2 linked regions of the Anolis sagrei genome follow. The protein of the gene in region 1 purifies or fractionates together with the protein of each later gene. This does not show direct contact. Links are inferred from orthologs where the notes say so. Each region holds a gene or a part of one and is shown in the gene's direction. Other genes may lie near its edges.

Evidence for each region. Proteins that work in one complex are often made in the same cells at the same time.
Region 2: the proteins of CSNK1D (region 1) and GAPVD1 purify together in Homo sapiens (affinity purification with mass spectrometry; 5 studies listed by BioGRID and IntAct, counting the BioPlex papers as one, with this or other methods). This does not show direct contact. The link is inferred for Anolis sagrei from reciprocal best matches to the Homo sapiens genes CSNK1D and GAPVD1.

The regions. Positions count from the first base shown.
Region 1 is NC_090022.1:114,328,784-114,339,760, reverse strand, and holds the start of CSNK1D (casein kinase I), read left to right. Parts: upstream 1-6,248; 5' UTR 6,249-6,488; coding exon 6,489-6,564; intron 6,565-10,977. UniProt on the Homo sapiens protein: Essential serine/threonine-protein kinase that regulates diverse cellular growth and survival processes including Wnt signaling, DNA repair and circadian rhythms. It can phosphorylate a large number of proteins.
Region 2 is NC_090031.1:6,427,576-6,439,176, forward strand, and holds the start of GAPVD1 (GTPase-activating protein and VPS9 domain-containing protein 1), read left to right. Parts: upstream 1-7,221; 5' UTR 7,222-7,318; intron 7,319-11,601. UniProt on the Homo sapiens protein: Acts both as a GTPase-activating protein (GAP) and a guanine nucleotide exchange factor (GEF), and participates in various processes such as endocytosis, insulin receptor internalization or LC2A4/GLUT4 trafficking.

The DNA.
Region 1 (10,977 bases):
TACTTACTTACTTAGGCGATCCCTCGTAGTCCGAGGATGATGGTCCTCCAAGTTTGGTGTTCTGGTGGTGGGTCCGTAGTTGACTGTGGAGCCCTATTCCAGTACATTCCATTTAAATGACTACTTTTCCTAGAAGCTGACCACATGTGCAAGGAAATCTCACACAACTCCATATAAAATTTGGAAGATCCGCACTAAAACTTTAGGAAAAGATGGACCTCTAAAGGCAGATGGGAGAAAGAAAATAGCTTATTATGGAGATCAATTCTAGTCCAGACCTGTTTTGTCAGTTAAATGAGTTCTTTATACTGATAATTCTTTCAATCTGTGGTAATAGTTTAAATTGAGTGTTCATTAAAATTTACATGAGTAAATTTTCAAGCTAACTTCAAATACTCAATAGCAGGAGTGTCATACTGGTATATCGTCATAAGGAAATGATTTGCTTGATTTTTTTTCCTTAATGGTTCTTTGAGAAATAAGTATTCCTACCATTTGGCCATTGTTCTGAATCAACTGAATTGAATCACAAATATTTCAGAAAATATCCACAAACATTCACATACACAACTGCTTGACACCATCCCATGTGCTAGACTTTAGTTTAAATCAAATTATTTCAAAGAACAAATTTCCTAAATGTAAATTACAATATTTTTCCTTGTATTTTATAATACCTTGAGTAGTTTATATGAAGTATTTCTAGTTTTCCACACCAATCATTTTTAGGCATTTGAAAATTGTGACCAGTTTTAAACGTCTTACCCTAAGTAGAGTAGTCCACTAAATCAGTTGGATTTATTTGTGGTTTAACTAACCATTAAGTAAAAATGAACTAGGTTTACTGTATTTGAGACTTGCAGCAAGATTTTAGAACAAATTGTTACTATTTTTCTAACATAGTACATGAAATGTTACATTTTTGTCCTTTTACCGCTGGGTAAGGAGAAACCGAAAAGGATTTTGAGGACCACTGTACCTTTGAGCAAGAAAAATATGTACGGTATAAGTAACAATTGAATAGGATATAAACCCCTAATATTACCAGAAAGCAATATGAAATGATGGCTTTTTAAAAGATGTTCATACTTGTCAAATGCAATTTTAGAATACGCTTATTTTATCAGTGAAACTTCTGTAAGTATTGACTTGTAGAGTTCCCATTTAGAATGTGTGTATGTGGGCAAACTTGGAAGTCACTTGAAAACATGGCAACCTCATTTCATAGGGTTTTACTACACAACGAATACTGAGAAGTGGTTTTGCAAGTTTTTTACTCTGAAATCTAGCCTAAAGCACCTGTCTATCTGGTTGGTTTAGCATCTATTCACACCTCTCAGCTGATCACAGTGAAAACTGGAATCAGCTTCAAACCAGAATTCATTCTAGGACTGTTGGATAATCAAATAAAAAAGGAATGTTAGAAAATAGTGCAGTACACGTTAACAGTAACAAATCCTACATCATCAACAATGGAAAAAGAAAGAAACAGATTGGACAGTGAAAATTTGGGAATAGAAATTGATAAGTTAACCATTTTGTTGAAGGGGAAATCACTGGACACATTCTTAGAAAAATGTTTCTATTAATATGTATCTGAGGGAATGTTTTGTATTAATATATATGAGGGAAATTGAAAGACAGTTTTTGAGATAGTCAGCAACCTGCTGGATATAAGGTAGAAGAAGAAAAAGTTAAATTATAGGGAAACTGGTAAAGGGGAAGCAGGAAATCCTTTTAAAAAACTAATTCATGTATATTCTTTTGAAGATTCCATTGATTGTAAAACACACACCCACAGTTCTAACACACCTGTTTTTAGAGATATTTATATATGGGAAAGTGAACCTTAGAATAGAAGAAAAAAGATTTGTTGGTGCTTTAATTACATGTAATTAGAGTAGATGTATGTCAGTGTGAAAATTGTGTAGCTGGTATTTAATTGTTCTTTACGTTTTAAAATATATATAAACATTGTTACTTTTATTTGTGTTTCTTCGGTTAAATTTTGCATTTTAGAAAAATGGGGGAAAAGGAGAAATTTACCTAAGATCTTGCTAGCTCTCATGTTGGTCTTTGGAAAGACCTCTTAGTCTGAATCTTCACAAACCATATAATGCAGCTTGAAGCTAGCTCAAGGTCATGGTGTCCACAAAGCATACATCCCCAGTATGCATTAAGCCAGAAACAGTGTATTCAAATGCAGTATACATTAAGCCAGAAACAGTGTGTTCAAAAACACCAGAAAGTTCAAAACAAGCCAAAAATCCACTGCAGCCAATCAGAGTATATTCCATGCAGACCTCCAATCTGGGACTGGAAAATGAAGAATGCTTGCTAGGACACCTGGTGATGACGTGCTTTAAAAATGCAGAAATAGCTGGAAGGTAAATAAGAAAAGACATCATTCCCATGGGAAAATTCACTTCCCACACCTCTGTTCCGATTTCCTGTTTCCTGCCTCTGTCTAGCAGTGATCCCGAAAGGACATGGTGATGCATCTCAGTGAACTGGGTAAGAAAGAAAACATTCTTGGGTTCAATTGCAAACTGCAAAAAGCGGATGCTGTGGCCACCTCATTGAACCATTCCTGGGGTGTTTGTGTAAGCAAGAATGCACAGTGAAAGAGGTCCATTTAAATCCACCTCCAAACAGGATGATGATGATGATGATTAACAACTTTCTTTGTACACAGCCACCATCTCTCAGAGGGAATCTAGGTGGCTCACAAAGCACTCAAAGGTGCAACCACACAAAATACAGAAAGTGTAAACAACCATAAGTGAACAACCAACATAAACATCATAACTTCACAATACCCCCTGGTTAAAACCAAAATACAGTGATAGCTGCAGGTAAAAACAACTGTAGTCAGTTTCAGTCTTGTAAAGTGCTTGATAAAAAAATCTATAGGTCATATATATAGATTATAGTGTCTCTATAGTGTTAGAAGAAGCCTTAATTTTAGGGCTACAAAAGTAATAGGGTATATTTACTTTTATTATATGTTTTGTTATGGATTGCTGAGAGTATGGATATTTTATTTTGTTCTACTTAATTTTCTTTAAGTTATATTTTTTCAGTTACAAAAAAATTAAAAAGACTGTCAGCCCTTGATGAGGGGAAATAGAGACGCCTAGTGTTCTACATGTGGGTTTTTCATTTCTAATTATTCTAAAAGAAATTCAACAATTAAGTTGAAGCTCATCTTTCTTTCATTCAAGCTGTGAACAACAGAATCCTAAGTTTGAAGGGACGGCAATGGCCACCTAGTCCAGCCATGTTTCATAGAGGGTTTACTGCAAATGTTCCCTTGAGAGATGGGCCTTAATCTTGTTTAATATAATGACGAAGTAGGTCATGTTAGAGTAAGGTACCTTGACTAGGTGCTGTTCCATTAGCCGGGTGTAGGCCGCCAGGGGGCGCTAGCTGAAGCAGTAAAACCATCCCCCCCCCCCCCCCCCCCCCCGTTTCCTGTTATGAAATGGGAAGGGGGAATAATCAACAAAAACTAAGGAAATGGCTTTCCTCTTTCAAACCCCCCACCCCCAACATGGACTATCCTCTCTCTCTCTAGCACACCCTGGTGGCTTTTGCCTGTGTCAGAAGCGACTTGAAAAAAATGCAAGTCGCTTTTGGTATGAGAGAACTGGCCATCTGCAAGGACGTTGCCCAGGGGACGCCCAGATGTTTAATATTATACCCTGCTTATAGGAGGCTTCTCTCATGTCCCTGCATGGAGCTCTGGAGCTGACAGAGGGAGCTGAAACTGTTACACTGAGTCCCCTGAGGGGTGAGAAGAGCGGGATGGAAATGAAGTAAAGAAATAAATGTTTCACAGAGCTCTGGACATTGCTGTTTCTTTAAGGTGCTGGGAGTTTCAATGCAGCACAGGCTTAGAGGCCTTCACCTCGCCAATGCACTGTATTGCTTAGGCCAGGCATGTAGCCGGGGGGGGGGGGGGGCTCGGGGGCTTCAGCCCTTCCCCCCGAAATTTTCATGGTGGTTCGCGAAAAGGCCTTATTGGTGCATTATTTAAACTGTTATGTTTATTCATATCATGATCTGATCACCATACTCAATATATCCCATATGCATGGGGGTATTGGGGTAATGATACAAAAGTTTGCTAGGCTAGACCCTCTTTCACTCAGACTCAGCCCCCCCCCGAAACTCAGCCCCCCCCCGAAACCCCCCCTGAAAAAAAATCAGCCCCTCCCCCCCCCCCCCCCCCCCCCGAAACGAAATCCTGGCTACGGGCCTGGCTTAGGCTATTTTTCTTCAGGGGAGGGATAGTCATCAGCTTGAAATGATTACATGCCTTGTTGTTGTTCATTCGTTCAGTCGTCTCCGACTCTTCGTGACCTCATGGACCAGCCCACGCCAGAGCTCCCTGTCGGCCGTTACCACCCCCAGCTCCCTCAAGGTCAGTCCAGTCACTTCAAGGATGCCATCCATCCATCTTGCCCTTGGTCGGCCCCTCTTCCTTTTGCCTTCCACTTTCCCCAGCATAATTGTCTTCTCTAGGCTTTCCTGTCTCCTCATGATGTGGCCAAAGTACTTCAACTTTGTCTCTAGTATCTTTCCCTCCAGTGAGCAGTCAGGCTTTATTTCCTGGAGGATGGACTGGTTGGATCTTCTCGCAGTCCAAGGCACTCTCAGCACTTTCCTCCAACACCACAGCTCAAAAGCATCGATCTTCCTTCGCTCAGCCTTCCCTAAGGTCCAGCTCTCACATCCGTAGGTGACTACAGGGAATACCATGGCTTCGACTAGGCGGATCTTTGTTGCCAGTCTGATGTCTCTACTCTTCACTATTTTATCGAGACTGGACATTGCTCTCCTCCCAAGAAGTAAGCGTCTTCTGATTTCCTGGCCACAGTCTGCATCTGCAGTAATCTTTGCACCTAGAAATACAAAGTCTGTCACAGCCTCCACGGTTTCTCCCTCTATTTTCCAGTTGTCAATCATTCTTGTTGCCATAATCTTGGTTTTTTTGACGTTTAGCTGCAACCCAGCTTTTGCACTTTCTTCTTTCACCTTGATTAGAAGGCTCCTCAGCTCCTCCTCGCTTTCGGCCATCAGGGTGGTGTCATCTGCATATCTGAGGTTGTTAATGTTTCTTCCAGCAATTTTCACCCCAGCTTTGCATTCATCCAGCCCCGCACATCGCATGATGTGTTCTGCATACAAGTTAAAAAGGTTGGGTGAGAGGATGCAGCCTTGCCGTACGCCTTTCCCAATCTTGAACCAGTCTGTTGTTCCGTGGTCAGTTCTGACTGTTGCTACTTGGTCCTTGTACAGATTCCTCAGGAGAGAGACAAGGTGACTTGGTATCCCCATACCACCAAGAACTTGCCACAATTTATTATGATCCACACAGTCAAAGGCTTTAGAATAGTCAATGAAGCAGAAGTAGATGTTTTTCTGAAACTCCCTGCCTTTCTCCATTATCCAGCGGATATTGGCAATGTGGTCTCTCGTTCCTCTGCCTTTTCTAAACCCAGCTTGAACATCTGGCAACTCTCGCTCCATGTATTGCTGGAGTCTTCCTTGCAGGATCTTGAGCATTACCTTACTGGCATGAGAAATAAGGGCCACTGTACGGAAGTTGGAGCAGTCCTTCGCATTTCCCTTTTTTGGTATGGGGATATAAGTTGATTTTTTCCAGTCTGATGGCCATTCTTGTGTTTTCCATATTTGCTGGCAAATGGCATGCATCACCTTGACAGCATCATCTTTTAAGATTTTAAACAGTTCAGCTGGGATCCCGTCGTCTCCTGCTGCCTTGTTGTTAGCAATGCTTCTTAAGGCCCATTCAACCTCACTCCTCAGGATGTCTGGTTCTAATTCATTCACCACACCATCATAACTATCCTCAATATTATTATCCTAGCTTTGATCTATCCACTGAAGAGATTGTGATACCTTCATAGTGAGGCATGTGCCTTAATTTTACAATGTCATTCGCCTCCTCTGCCCAATAGTGCTGGCGCCTCACCAAACGACAGCTCCCAAGATTCCCTAGAACTGAGCCATGGGGGTTAAAGCGGTGCCAAACTGCATTAATTCTTGAGTGTGGCGGGCGCCCTTTTCGGCGAGGGCTATAGCAGGGGCTCGCCGCGGCCTCGGCGGTTGCCTGGGCGACGGCCCTGGCTCCGGCTCCCGGCCTCACAATCTGCAAGCCCCGCCCCGTTCCCGCCCCTCGAGCCGCCTTCCCTCCCGGGGAGGCGCAGGCCCCGCCCTCAGTTGTCAAGGAAGTGAGGTCACACAACATGGCGGCGGCTCGGCCCCAGCTGCGTTGAGCGGGAGGGGGGATCCGGGTCTCGGGGAATCGGCCTCCATCCTCCCCAGCCGGGGCGCGCGGCCGCCCCCAGACCCCTCCGCCGCCGGGAGACGGGCCCCGGGCCGCCATGCTCGCCGTCCTGGCCTCGCTCTGAGCCGGGCTCCGTCCTCGCCGCTGGGTTGGGTCCACTCGAGCCGCGCCGATGGAGTTGAGAGTCGGGAACCGGTACCGGCTCGGCCGGAAGATCGGGAGCGGTTCTTTCGGGGATATTTACCTCGGTGAGGAAGAGGAGGAAGCGGGCGGTGGAGGGGAGGGCTGGCCGGGGTCCGGCGGGGCCTGCTCGGCCTCAAAGAACCGCCGCAACCCGGCAAGGGCTGCCTGTCGCCTCACCTCGGGCTTCTCAGGCCTTGTTTACGGAGGGTGCGCCTACATTGTCGAATAAATGCAGGTTGACAGCACTTCAGCTGCCATGTCTCAGTGCTGTGGAATCCTGGGAGCGGTAGTTTTCCAAGGCCTTACGCTTCCTCTGCTCAGTAGCCCTGGGGCCTCCTCAAACGGCCCCTCCCTGGATTCCGTAGCTGCTCCCCTTTGCAGTCAGTGGTGCCGGCCACCAGTCTTCCGTGTAGGCCTCACCCTTTCCCGAGACTTCCTCAGGGCAGAGCCCCTCGCCCTCCCCGCTTCCTCCTTCAAGAGAAACTTCCTTGGTGACCTTGGGCCGCCGGCCGCCCTCTTCTCAGCCGGCCTCCCTTGGCTGGAGCAGGAAAAATCAAGCCCGTCCTCCTTCCAAAGCATGGACTGGACCCAAGAGTTTTGACTTCAAAGCCTGGTCTTGGCCAGGACCGCAGGCCTTGACTATTGCTTCAACCGGGGCTGTAAAAGCCTCCAGGAAGTAGCTCGCTTTTACAAAAAAAATTGCCCAATGCTGTGTTTTGTGATTGCAAAATCGCTCATTTTGTGGCTTGGGGTGCTTTCTGCCTTTTTGGTTTTTAACCTGGACTTCCGGTAAATGGGATGGTGGGCCCTTCCACATCCATATAACTCAGAATATCAAGGCAGGTAATTCCATAATATCTGGGTTATCTGAGGGCCCTTCCACACAGCCTTATATCCCAGAATATCAAGGCAGAAAAACCCACATTATCAGAGTGTAGACTCAGATAACCCAGTTCAAAGCAGAATTGTGGGATTTTCTGCATTAATATTCTGAGATATAGGACTGTGTGGAAGGGCCTTGAGTCCACACAGCCATATATTCCAGTTCAAAGCAGAAAATGAGGGATTTATTTATTCAGCTGTGTGGAAGGAGCATTTTGTTCCTTTCTGAGGTGTAAAATTCTGGTTATTTGCAACCCAGTCCCCTAGTTTTGATGACAGCATAATTGTGAATCTAAGCCAGAGGCCTGCTGACTTACTTCTTTGGTGATGAATCTTTAATAAACCCCCAGGGATGTGGGTTTTCGCTTGCATTCTGCATATGGTAAGCTAGCCTAGGTGTCTCCTTTCAAAGTGGTAGGCTCTATGCAAAGGTAAGCCAGGAAAAAAAATCTGATGGTCTGTCAATTAGTTCAAGGTTCAGTCCCACGAAGGATTAGGCCTATGCATTGCAGTATACATTTGAGTAGCTTTAATGGGATTGCTGACTTTGCGTATTGTTGTACAAAGGGAACAGCCAATCCAAGTCTGAGCTCCTATGTTTAAAAATAAATGTGAATATCGAAAGCAGCAAATCCATATTGCCAAGGCTGCTATTTCTTTGTATACAAAAGGTTACTTCCTTACCTGATCTAGTGCTTCCTTGCCTGATCTAGTGCTTTTCTGACAGAATAACATTAAATATCTTATAGTGTTTTGTTCTTACCTATCTTTTAGGAAAGGGTGTGAAATGTCAACATTTCTGTTGAAATAAATGCTTTATGTCTTTGATCAGATCTTTATTCAGAAAACTTTGGAAGTGCAGTCTTCTGAAATCCTTCTTGGATGTTGTCTTTGCTTCCTCCTTGTAAATAATAAACTTTAAGGGATTTCTTTTGCTTGCATACTACACAAAATTATACATACAAGGGTGTGAACCCATCAGGACAAAAGATTATCATTTGGTTGCAGCTTCCCCTTTAATTAAAAGTGTTGTGCAGGTTGGAAAAACTTTGTTAAAAGTCAGAGAAGGCTTTTATTAATCTTGTCCCTAATAAAATGTTATATCTGCTTGTGGCAGCGACCCATTAGATTTTTTAAATTTTTGAGAAAGATGTGCAAGAAAGGGCATAGATACCTTTATGATTATGATTCACACTAAAAATGGATCTTAGGTTATGTATATTTCTTAACCATCACATCTATTACTCTTGCCTTTGTTTTATTTACCAGGCTTGAGTTTCTTTTCGCTCTGATACTTAGGAAGGTTCAAAGGATAGTGTAAAACAGGACAGTGAAGATATTTAAATTATTCACCACTGTTGTCCCACCTGATGGGGGAAGAGAAGGATGATGACACTTTCCCAAATTCTTAATCCTAGAACTTTGATTCCCTTGTAATACAGAGAAGACTTCAGAACCTTGACACACGAAATTGTCAGATCCTTTGGCATAGTCTTGTTTTGGTAGCTGCCCAGGGAAGAATATCCTTGTATACTAAAAACATTTCCAGTCAGATATTTTCTTAAACTTTCTGAGTGTTGTAACTTTCGCCATCCTTTCTTCCTCATGTCCGCATTTTAGAATTAAGTTGAATTTAGGAGATATTTCCATTTACTGAAATTAAGACATTAAGATCCCTTACTCATGTGGTGTCATTTCCTGCTTCTTTGAGAAGTTTGCATTATTATTAACAGTAAAAGGTATTACTCCTATTTATGAGGCAAGAATCACAGGTTATTAATTAGTTGATATTGTATATAGGGATTCATTTCAAATAAGAGTTTCTGTAGGTAGTTTGAAATAAGAAGATGGAATTCCTGCAATGCAAAACTTTTGGTTTTGAAAAAGTTTGCTTCTGGGTTTTTTTTAAAAAAACTTCCACCTAGTATATAAAATAAATATTAAATTCCTATAATAAAGTTTTTTCTTCTCATTTGAGCATTATAAAAAATGAGTTGCTTGGCTTTCCAGCCATTGTCTTCGAGGCAGTTGCTATAAATAGAATTGTTCGGTCATATCGGCTATTGACATATAGACGTTTTAAAAATCTGGCTATTACAGTCACTTCAGAAAATAGCAATTTTACTTAGTTACTCTTTCTTCGGTTATATCCAGTGGGATTATTAGATTTCAGATTAGATGGAAGTCACCCAGAAAATCCATTGCAAAATACTTTTATCAAAAGAAGAAGATTGTAGAGTTTCTGATATTTACAACAAGTAAATGTCTGATTAGAAGACCTAAAGTCACTATCACTTTAACTGTGGATCTGTATCTGAAATCTAACAGATCACTTCAGCTTTGTTCATTCAAGATATTTTCTACAACCTTGATTACTGTCTTAATTTCACTTCATAGGAATCTCATTTTTGATTTGTAATTGTGAGAACTCTTTCTGCAGTGGTTTCATCTATAAGTATTTTTTTACCATATTTTACTAAGGTATTTTGATTTTGCTACTACTGTACTGGAAGCTGTGATAGACTAGCATTGTTTATTACGTAGCCAACAAATTCATTTAGAAATGAAAAATTCAGTCTTGCACATCTCTGGTACCAATTACCAGGCTACTTCAGTGTTTCCCTGAACCTGAACTATAGCCAGGTTTTATTTTCTGAGGATCTGTGAGATGCTGCCCAGTCACTAAGAATTTGTTGGCAGAAAATATGCTTACCTAAGAAGGACTTCCTTACTCAGGAGTCTGTAGCAAAATATGTATGATTGGAGATGAATCCTCCTTATGCACTGCATAAAGAAGACATTACTACATCCTGCAGTTTTGCTTGATGAAATTAATATTTTTGCACCAGTCTACAGTAAGTATTAAATAATAACGTAGTAGTAGTAGTAGTAACAACTTTATTTCTAGATCGCTCTCTCTCCCCAGAAGTACTCAGGGCAGTTGACACATAAAAGGGCAAACATTCAATGCCTCAAAATAGGTACAGACTAAATTGTAGTAAGATAACTCATTTTGAAACAGCTTTCCACTTTCTTCCTTTGTAGCCCAGTAGGATTACAAAATGGATCATGAAGTGGAAGGTTTAATGTTACGTGTTGTTAAAAATGGTTTCTGTAGAGAGAAAGAGTGTGTGAGACAGAATTGATATATTCCAAGCCACAATGCTTGTGTATTTTAGAAAATCTGGAGCTACCTCTATAGTGGAATGTCTTCAGCAAAAACAAACAAAAGGTTAATTAACTATACTTGTTAACTTATTTCAACTATCTTAAGCCCCGATCATCTCAACAGTGGTGAAGAGTGCTGGGTGTGGCACTCAGGCGGTATCAGCAGGGCCTCATTTTGCCCACCTCTTCTATAAATAGTAACCTTGCATGTGGTGACAGACACAAGTAGTTTCTATGCTGCTCACTGAGATTACCTGTGGGAGCCTCCCATGATGTACTTCAGAAGGGAATAGTCTTAAACCAGAAGACTCACTGAAATCAGCTTTTGAATGAGCTTAATTTTGGCAAGGTTTACTGAACATCTGGGATAATGTTTAAGAGAAAATATGAGAAAATGCATAAATAATATGTTATCCTTTCCTTACCAT
Region 2 (11,601 bases), on another chromosome or scaffold:
AAAGATGGGAGAATGCACAGATGTATAGCCTTGGGAGTCCCTCTACAAAGCACCTCAAATTTGGTCCTTAAACTAAACCTTTAGGTATCAAAAATAGCTCATCTTTGGGGCATAAATTCACTAGGAAGGTGAGGTAGAAAGATTCAAATGACAGGGAAGGAGATTCCACCTGAACCTTAGAAGAACTTCCTGACTGTAAGAGCTGTTCAGCAGTGGAACTCTCTATCTCAGTATCTAATAAAGGTTCCTTCCTTGAAGAGGCTGGATGGCCATCTGTTGGGGGTGTTTTGATTGTGCTTTTCCTGCCTGGCAGAAGAGGGAATTCTTCGACGTCTCTTTCCAACTCTGATTGATAATTCCATGAAACCTTTGCAATGGTCTGTGCCCATACAATGCCACACAGGTTGAAAACTGACTCAGAGCAGACGTGATTTTTATTTTGCTAAGTCTTACATTGAGACTTGGGCCCTATCTCCCAAAGTGTAACCATATGATTTGGAAAAGAGCCTCCTCCAGACCTCTGGGCAAGTTTCTTGCAAAAAGCCAATCTTTCCAACTCAAAAGCATTCCTTTACAACATCTTAACCTGGAGGTGTGTTTCTTCCCTCCACAAATGGACAAATTTATGCAATGCTTTAGACATAAAATAAACCATGTATTATTAGTATTTAGAGAAGTGGTTCTCAACCTGTTTAGATTATATGCCTTTACTAATACACATACAACTACTATTTGCAACATTTATAATGTAATATTATATAGAAATATATATAAGGAGATAAACACACATTTATTAATGTTTAGATGATAGGCTTATAGATTATACACTATCACTAATACACACAAGTACTATTTCTAACATCAATAAACATACAATATTACTATATAGAAATATATATATATAGATACAAACTATTATATTTACAAAGACATCATTTATTAATGTTTAGAAAAACTTATAGATTATACATTATAACTATATATATATAGATAGTTTATCAATATTTAGATTTTAGGCTCATAGATTATACACTTGCTAATAAAAACATTTTTCAGCATCTATAAATATATTACTATACTATTATATTTACACACATTAATGTTCAATGATAGGCTTATAGATTATATACTATTCCTATAGAAATATATAGGAATTCACAGTTTATTAGTGTTGAGATGATAGGCTTACAAGGTTATACACTATTCCTATAGAAATATATATAGATTCACATAGGAGTTGAGATGATAGGCTTAGCTCATACTCTATGATAGGGTTAACTCATATTCCTATTCGTATGCCAATATATATATAGATACATAATTAATTAACGTTGGATAGGCTTATAGATTACTAATACACACATACAACTATTTGCAACAGCTATGAATACATAATAGCATATATACACTATATATATGTCTATATATACACACATATAGATATATATAAACATATACAGAGAGATAATTCATTCATGTTAAGACTCCAGGCTTAAACTACAACTAGCAAGTTACATATATACATAAATGGATATATATAGGAATAATAGCATTTAATAGTTTACCACAATTAGTAACAAGGCGTGGTTCGTTAAGAGGCTCACCTCTATTAATCAGCTACAGCCGTCCACACTGGTAACGACGTTTCTAACACGCGACAAACTAAATTCCTTCCTCTCAGGCTTCTCAAGAGTGTCTAGGCCCAGCCGCTCGTGCGGCCTTATATAGTCGCCCGCTCCCTTGCGTGGATGGCTGTGGTTGGTCGGTTTTTCCTCGCTGGAGCTTCCCGATTGGTTGCTTCCTTCCTAGCTGGCCGGCCCCGATTGGTCCGCTTGCGTAGTGACGTCACGCACCCGTCGCGTGCTTCGCCGTCGGGCCTTTCTCCCCTTTTCTTCTTTGCCTTACCTTCTTTCCGCTTAACCTCCGCGCTACTGATTGGTCCACCCAACCGGCCCCGCGGACCAATCACAGCCCGCGCTGTGGCCAAGCGGAAAGAGCCCATTGGCTGGGAGGTGACACGGCGTTGAAAAGGCTTAGGATGAATCCTTCTGGAAGTTGCCATGGTTACCAGGCCTAGCCAGGCGCCAAGGCTTTTTGAAGCCTGAGAAAGTGATTTCCTTATACATTTTGAGACCATACAGATAAAATTGCATATAGGACTATTTGCGCCTAGAATCATAGAATCAAAGAGTTGGAAGAGACCTCATGGGCCATCCAGTCCAACCCCCTGCCAAGAAGCAGGAATGTTGCATTCAAATCACCCCTGACAGATGGCCATCCAGCCTCTGTTTAAAAGCTTCCAAAGAAGGAGCCTCCACCACACTCTGGGGCAGAGAGTTCCACTGCTGAACGGCTCTCACAGTCAGGAAGTTCTGGCCTCATGTAAGCCGCCCCAAGTCCCCGTTGGGGGAGATGGTGGCGGCGTATAAATAAAGTTTATTATTATTATTATTATTATTTGCACTCCCTTGGCAGCCACCTCTCCATCCAAGTCAACATTGACACAGAAATACAACACCGCCTGAGCTCTGCAAGGGCAGCATTTTTCCAAATGAAGCAGAGAGTGTTTCAGGTCTGGGACATCCATACAGAGACCAAGGTGCTTGTCTATAAAGCTATTGTCCTCCAAACCCTGTTATATGCCTGCGAAACGTGGACTGTCTACAGATGTCACACTCAGCTCCTGGAACAATTCCATCAGCGCTGCCTCTGGAAAATCCTGCAAATCTCTTGGGTAGACAAGCGGACAATGTCAGCGTGCTGGAAGATGCAAAGACCACCAGCATTGAAGCGATGGTCCTCCGCCATCAACTCAGCTGGACTGGCCCCCTTGTCTGAATGCCCGACCACTGTCTCCCAAAGCGGTTGCTCTACTCCGAACTCAAGAATGGAAAACGGAATGTTGGTGGACAGGAAAAGAGATTTAAAGACGGGCTCAAAGCCAACCTCAAAAACTGTGGAATAGACACTGAGAACTGGGAAGCCCTGGCCCTTGAGTGCTCCGACTGGAGGTCAGCTGCGGCCAGAAGTGCTGCAGAATTTGAAGAAGCACGAATAGAGGGCGAAAGAGAGAAACGTGCCAAGAGGAAGACGCGTCAGGCCAACCCCGACAGAGACCACCTGGAAACCAATGCCCTCTCTGCGGAAGAAGATGCAGATCAAGAATAGGGCTCCACAGCCACCTACGGACCCACCGCCAGGACAACGAACTTGAAGGACCATCATCCTCGGACTATGAGGGATCGCCTAAATAAGTAAGTAAGTAAATAAGTAAAGTAAGTACACTGATTCTGGAAGACTATCCTACTTGGACAACGAGGAATAGCCTAAGTAAGCAAAGCTGCAATTGGATGTACTACTTTATAATAAAGTTTTGACTTCCCATGATTGGATTTACTAATTCCATCACTTTGGACAATGATATGTGTAGAACACAATGGACATGGGCATTGTGAGTGCCCGACCCACCTTAATGGGTCACTCATCTTCGCAAAAGACTTTCATAACACGCATGGGACCTGATGGCCCCATGAAACCTGGATATATATATATATATATACACACACACACACACACACACACAAAATATATACACATATATAAATACACACACACACACATATATATACACGTGTAACTTTTCATATAATAAACCATTATATATATTAATAATAATGTTTCATGTTATACAAAACAACACAGAGATACAACTTTAACACTACATATATGTATCTGTGTTGTGTTATACAAATAAACCTTATAACAAAACCATTACATACATTTAACTTTTCATATAATAAGCTAATATATATATATATATATATATATATATCTACACACACACACACATACCATTATCGGTATTTATATATCATGTGTGATGAAAGTATATACTGTTAAACTTATATGTATATATATAAGTGCATGCATATATATTACGCTATACATCTATGTATCAATATATACAAATACAACTATTTCCCTATATTAAACCATAATATATTTAAATTTTCATGATAAACCCATATATAGAGTTTGTGTATATATGTGTGTATAATGTATATATAGTGGTTTGTTATATATACATGTATGTACATTATATATTTTTGTATTATATATATTATATATGACATTTTATATGTGTTTATATAGACACACGCATATACACATATGGAGTGTATATATTGTGGTTTATTATATATTAGCTATACATGTATAATATATATTAATACCGATATACAGGGTGAGGCAGCATAACTTCCTTTTTTCAAAACTTAATAAAACCCATTGTATGAATCTGATTTTTTTTATAATGTAGGCACATACCAAAAGTTTTGTTTTACGTAGTTTTGAAGATCAAATTAGGTAGGTGACGTCCCCCATTCTCCATACACTAAGTAACCTGATTTCTGGCGTTTGTCATGACTCTCAATCATAGCAGGAGTTGTGTTGGCAATTTCTTCCTGGATGTTGGTCTTCAAATCTTGTAGGGTCCTTGGACGGTTCACATAAACACAGGATTTCAAAAAAACCCATAGAAAAAAATCACAAGGGGCCAAATCTGGAGAGCGGGCCGGCCACTCCAAATCTGCTCGAAAAGTAGGCCTCAACGGCAAAAGCACGCTCCTCACTGTTCCAACGCATGATGGCGAATGAACTGTGTCAGGACAAAACTTTATACTCCCGCCTCTCGAACAAGACTACTAGCGCTCCGCTACGTCTTCAACTGACTGAATGGCGCGCATTTTAAAAAATGAAGTTATACTGCCTCACCCTGTATACATATATATATAGATAGATATTGATATATCATATTGTATTACATTTATTATGCATATGTGTATATGTGTGCATATACGTGTGTGTGTATATATATATATAAAACCATTCTATCAACTGCTTGTACTTCTTTTCCTCCAGAAATTCAGTTGACAATCATCTTGGCTTTGTGAGTCACCATTTGTCTTTCTCAGTATTGCACCATATCCTTTCCTCAAGCTTCCTGATATTAACGCAGGCAAAGGACCTCACCGTTCTAGAGTTAACTGAGCATAAAATCCTTTGATTTATTAAGATTTAATCAGGAAAACATATATGAAGTGGGATGAAGCTACAGAAATATGAACTAGAACAAGAAGTCCTAACACAAGAAGTTGAAATAATCACTCCCAACTTTTGGAAATAGATGCCCATGAGATAAATTGATTTAGCAGTCATTAAAGGTTTTGAGAATTACAGTCCTGGGGTTAAAGTCTTATTATTGTTATCCTTCCATCTATATAAATAAATTATTATCACTCATCCACCTATCTATCTTCCATTCATGTATCTATCCACCCCCCTTCTATCTTCCATCCATCTATCCACCTATCCATCCATCCATCCATCCATCAAACATGGTCCTTAACCATGGCCTTGAATCAAGTTCCTGTATTTCATTACTGCACCTTAAATTAAAATAATCCTATTATAATTACTCTATTCCTTTGCTGCGATATGTTCTATCTACCTTTGGCCAGCCTATCCTCTAACATGTCTGTACACCAGTCCTCCCCAAAATGAGACTTGAGAGTATTTCTGGTTGTTGCTTATGATGTCTTGTTTTTTTAATGTCAGTTATACATTGTTTTAATTTTTTATTTGCCTTGTTTTAATTGTATGTTAGGGTTAGTTGCCCCGGGTCCCTTTGGGGAGATGGAGGCGGGGTAGAAAAATAAAGTTCTTCTTCTTCCATCCATCTATCTATAAATGACGTCTTATTATTATTACAGATCCATCTATATAAATTTAAATAAGTTATTATTATTCATCCATCTAACCATCCATCCATCTTCCATCCATCCATCCATCCATCGATCAAGTCATATTATTATGACCCATTTATCCATCCATCTATTTATATAAATATAAATAAATAATTATTATTCATCCATCCATCTGTCTTCCATCCATGTATAAAGTCTTATTATTATTACCGATCCATCTATATTATTCATCGATCCATCCATCAATTAATCTAACAATCCATCTTCCATCCAGCTATTTATCTTATTATTATGACCCATCTATCCATCCATCTATTTGTATAGAAATAATTATTATCCATCCATCCATCTATAAAGTCTTATTATTACTGTTCCATCTATAATTTAAAGAAATTATTATTTTTATTAATCCATCTTCCATCCATCAATCAATTCATCTATCTATCTATCTATCCATGACCCATCCATCCATTTATCCATCCATCTATTTATATAAATATAACTAAATAATAATTATTTATCCATCTATCCATCTATAAAGTCTTATTATTATTACCGTCCATCTATACAAATTCAAATAAATTATTATTAGCATTCATCCTCCATCCATTCATCAATTCATCCATCTATCCATCGAACAATCCATCCATCTATCTTCCATCCAACCATCTATCTATCAAGTCTTATGACCCATCCATCCATCTATCCATTGATCTATGTATATAAATATAAATAATTATTATTCATCCAACCATCTATCTTCCACCCATCAATCTATAAAATCTTATTATTATTACCGATCCACCTATAATTTAAATATATTATTATTATTATTATGAATCTTCCTTCCATCCATCCATCACTTCATCCATCTATCTTCCATCCATCCATCTATCAAGTCTTATTATTATGACCCATCCATCCATTTATATAAATATGAATGAATAAATAAATATTACTCATCCATCCATCTATAAAGTATTATTACCCATCTATATACATTTAAATAAATTATTATTATTATTATTATTATTATTCATCCATCTATCTATCAAGTCTTATTATTATGACCCATCCATCCATCTATTTATATAAATAGAAATAAATAAATTATTATTATTTATCCATCCATCTATCTATCTATCTATCTACCTACCTACCTATCTATCTATCTATCTATCTATCTATCTTCCACCCACTCCATTCATCTATCTATCTATCCATTTATCTTCTATTTATCTAGATCAGGCCTGGGCCAACTTGGGCCCTCCAGCTGTTTTGGACTCCAACTCCCATCCATCTCTAAACAACGGCCACCTTCTGGAAGGACAAACTTGTCAGAAACGCGTTGGGTTGGCTGCAAAGTCCCGCGCATGCGCCTCTCCCTCTCCCTCCTTGGAACCAGCGAAAGCCAAGCCCCGCCCTCTTCCCCCTCTTCGGCCGCCGTCCCGACGCATGCGCAGCGGAGTGCGTAAGGGGGCGTGGCCAGGGTAGGGGCGGGGCTCAAGGCCCAGAAGAGAAGAAGCGGCGGAAGCGGAGGCCTCGCCTCGCAGGTGGGTCCCTTCACTGAGGCAGCTAGGCCTCGGCCTTTAGTTGGGTATTTATACCAGGCCTGGGCCAACTTGGGCCCTCCAGGTGTTTTGGACTACAACTCCCACAATTCCTAACAGCCTACCGGCTGTTAGGAATTGTGGGAGTTGTAGTCCAAAACACCTGGAGGACCCAAGTTGGCCCAGGCCTGATCTACAAGCAAGGGAAGCCTGGGAATTGTCGTTTGACCCTTATTTCTGTGCCCCTTCCACACACCTGAATAAAATCCCACATTATCAGTGTTGAACTGCGTTATATAGCAGTGTGGACTCGGATAACCCGGTTCAAAGCAGATATTGAGGATTATCTGCCTTGACATTCTGGGTGGAAGGGCCCCTGGATATTTTGAGCTGGGTTATATGAGTCTACACTGCTATATCATCCAGTTTCTGAATTGTATGTGCTTTGAACTGAATTATATGAGTCTACACTGCCATATAATGCAGTTTCTGAATCCAATGTGCCTTGAACTGGGTTATATGAATCTACACTGCTTTATCTGAATCCTATGTACTTTGAGCTGGGTTATATGAGTCTACACTGCCATATAATGCAGTTTCTGAATCCTATGTTCCTTGAACTGGATTATATGAGTCTACACTGCTTTATCTGAATCCTATGTACTTTGAGCTGGGTTATATGAGTCTACACTGCCATATAATGCAGTTTCTGAATCCTATGTGCCTTGAACTGGGTGATATGAGTCTACAGTGCTATATCATCCAGTTTCTGAATTGTATGTGCTTTGAACTGAATTATATGAGTCTACACTGCCATATAATGCAGTTTCTGAATCCTATGTGCCTTGAACTGGGTTATATGAATCTACACTGCTTTATCTGAATCCTATGTACTTTGAGCTGGGTTATATGAGTCTACACTGCCATATAATGCAGTTTCTGAATCCTATGTGCCTTGAACTGGGTTATATGAATCTACACTGCTTTATCTGAATCCTATGTACTTTGAGCTGGGTTATATGAGTCTACACTGTCATATAATGCAGTTTCTGAATCCTATGTTCCTTGAACTGGATTATATGAGTCTACACTGCTTTATCTGAATCCTATGTACTTTGAGCTGGGTTATATGAGTCTACACTGCCATATAATGCAGTTTCTGAATCCTATGTGCCTTGAACTGGGTGATATGAGTCTACAGTGCTATATCATCCAGTTTCTGAATCCTGTGTGCTTTGAATTGGGTTATATGAGTCTACGCTGCCATATAATGCAGTTTCTGAATCCTATGTGCCTTGAACTGGGTGATATGAGTCTACAGTGCTATATCATCCAGTTTCTGAATCCTGTGTGCTTTGAATTGGGTTATATGAGTCTACGCTGCCATATAATGCAGTTTCTGAATCCTATGTGCCTTGAACTGGGTTATATGAGTCTACAGTGCTATATCATCCAGTTTCTGAATCCTGTGTGCTTTGAATTGGGTTATATGAGTCTACACTGCCATATAGTGCAGTTTCTGAATCTTGTGTGTCTTGAATTGGGTGATATGAGTCTACAGTGCTATATCATCCAGTTTCTGAATCCTGTGTGCTTTGAATTGGGTTATATGAGTCTACACTGCCATATAATGCAGTTTCTGAATCCTATGTGCCTTGAACTGGGTGATATGAGTCTACAGTGCTATATCATCCAGTTTCTGAATCCTGTGTGCTTTGAATTGGGTTATATGAGTCTACACTGCCATATAATGCAGTTTCTGAATCTTGTGTGTCTTGAATTGGGTGATATGAGTCTACAGTGCTATATCATCCAGTTTCTGAATTCTATGTGCCTTGAACTGGGTTATATGAGTCTACAGTGCTGTATCATCCAGTTTCTGAATCCTGTGTGCTTTGAATTGGGTTATATGAGTCTACACTGCCATATAATGCAGTTTCTGAATCTTGTGTGTCTTGAATTGGGTGATATGAGTCTGCACTGCTATATTATCAAGTTTCTGAATCCTATGTGTTTTGAGCTGGGTTATATGAGTCTACAGTGCTATATCATCCAGTTTCTGAATCCTATGTGTTTTGAGCTGGGTTATATGAGTCTACACTGCTATATCATCCAGTTTCTGAATCCTATGTGCTTTGAACTGAGTTATATGAGTCTACACTGCTATATCATCCAGTTTATGAATCCTACGTGCTTTGAGCTGGGTTATATGAGTCTACACAGCTATATTATCCAGTTTCTGAATCCTGTGTGCTTTGAACTGGGTTATATGAGTCCACACTGCTATATCATCCAGTTTCTGAATCCTATGTGCTTTGAGCTGGGTTATATGAGTCTACACTGCTATATCATCCAGTTTCTGAATCCTATGTGCTTTGAACTGGGTTATATGAGTCTACACTGCTATATCATCCAGGTTCTGAATCCTATGTGCTTTGAACTGGGTTATATGAGTCTACACTGCTATATCATCCAGTTTTTGAATCCTATGTGTTTTGAACTGGGTTGAGTCTACACTGTGTGCTTTCAGCTGGGTTATATGAGTCTACACTTCTATATCATCCATTCAACCTAATATTATAAATACCATATTAAACCATTAAAAACATATAATTACCAGTGTCGTCCTGTTAAAATAATTATCCAGCAGCATTGTCTAGCCATTCTGTGTTAATTCTTCCTATTTCATAATTATTTATGAGTCTAAACTGCCATATCATCCAGAATCTGAATCCTGATTATCTGCTTTGAATTGGGTTATATGAGTCTTCACTGTATTATCATCCATTGTCTGAATCCTGATTATATGCTTTGGAGACTGCCATAGAATCCAGTTCAAAGCATGTAATCTGGATTTAGTAACAGGATTACATGGTAGTATAGATAGGGCCTTTGAGATGTTTCTTGTGGAAGGAAAGATGGAGTCTTCTTCTCTGGAGGAGAGGGGATGGCCATCTGTTGGGAGGGCTTGGATTGTGTCTTCCTGTTTGGCAGAATGGATGAGCTGGGCGGCCCTTCCAGTCGTGTGATTCTATCTGCCAAAACAGATAATCCACATGATGTTCTCTGAACTGGATTATATGAGTCTACACAGCCATATAATCCAGTTCAAAGCAGATAATCTGGATTTTACATGGCAGTATAGAAGGGGCCTAAGTCACACTGCAAGGGCCTTAGATGAGGAAATGGGCCATCCTACCTTTAGATCAAGCCAGATAACAAAAATTGGAGGGCATTTCTGTTTATTTTGTGTGTGACCTCTTTAAGAGTCATAAATCGGAAGTCAGAATGTTTTGCTGTTCTGCAGGAAAATCATGAACTACTTTCTCCTTATCTTTGACTTTGTATGTCTTGTCTGAAGACTGTTTTTTTTCCAATGTTATAAGATCTGATAGCAAACACTGGAATGTATAGGAGGAAAAGATAACAAGGGATGAATGTGAGTGTATTGCAGGCATTTACGGGCACTTGCCAAGTTACAGACATCTGACTCAAAGTTAAGAACAGGAAGTGATGGAAATCTTCCCCTTGGAAGGATTAGATATCCTGGAAGAGTTATTATCATGGGGAAAATGTGTTCCCACAACAAGGCAAATGTTCAAAATCCACACTATCACAGGGACACAAAGTGAGGTGAAATCTTCTGAACAGAGGCACAGGCAACAAAACAAATGTCACAGAAGTGTTAACCCTAGCCTATGCTATCCAAAACATACACACACATATCTATATAAATAAAAATGTAATGTTCGTTTGTGGGATTAACAGAACTCAAAAACCACTGGATGAATTGACACTAAATTTGGACACAAGACACCTAACAACCCAATGGAATATTCGTGCCAAGTTTGGTCCAGATCCATCATTGTTTGAGTCCACAGTGCTCTCTGGATGTAGGTAAACTACAACTCCCAGACTCAAGGTCAATGCTCACCAAACCCTTCTAGTATTTTCTGTTGGTCATGGGAGTTCTGTGTCCCAAGATTGGTTCAGTTCCATCATTGGTGGAGTTCAGAATGCTCTTTGATTGTAGGTGAACTATAAATCCCAGCAACTACAACTCCCAAATGACAAAATCATTTTTTTTTTGAGTGAAGGACATACATTGGGTTGTTAAGTGTCTTGTGTCCAAATTTAGTGTCAATTCGTCCAATGGTTTTTGAGTTCTGTTAATCCCACAAATGAACATTACATTTTTATTTATATAGACTAGCCGTCCCCTGCCACACGTTGCTGTGGCCCAGTCTGTGTATATCTGTTTTGTGTGTGAATATAATTGTGTATAT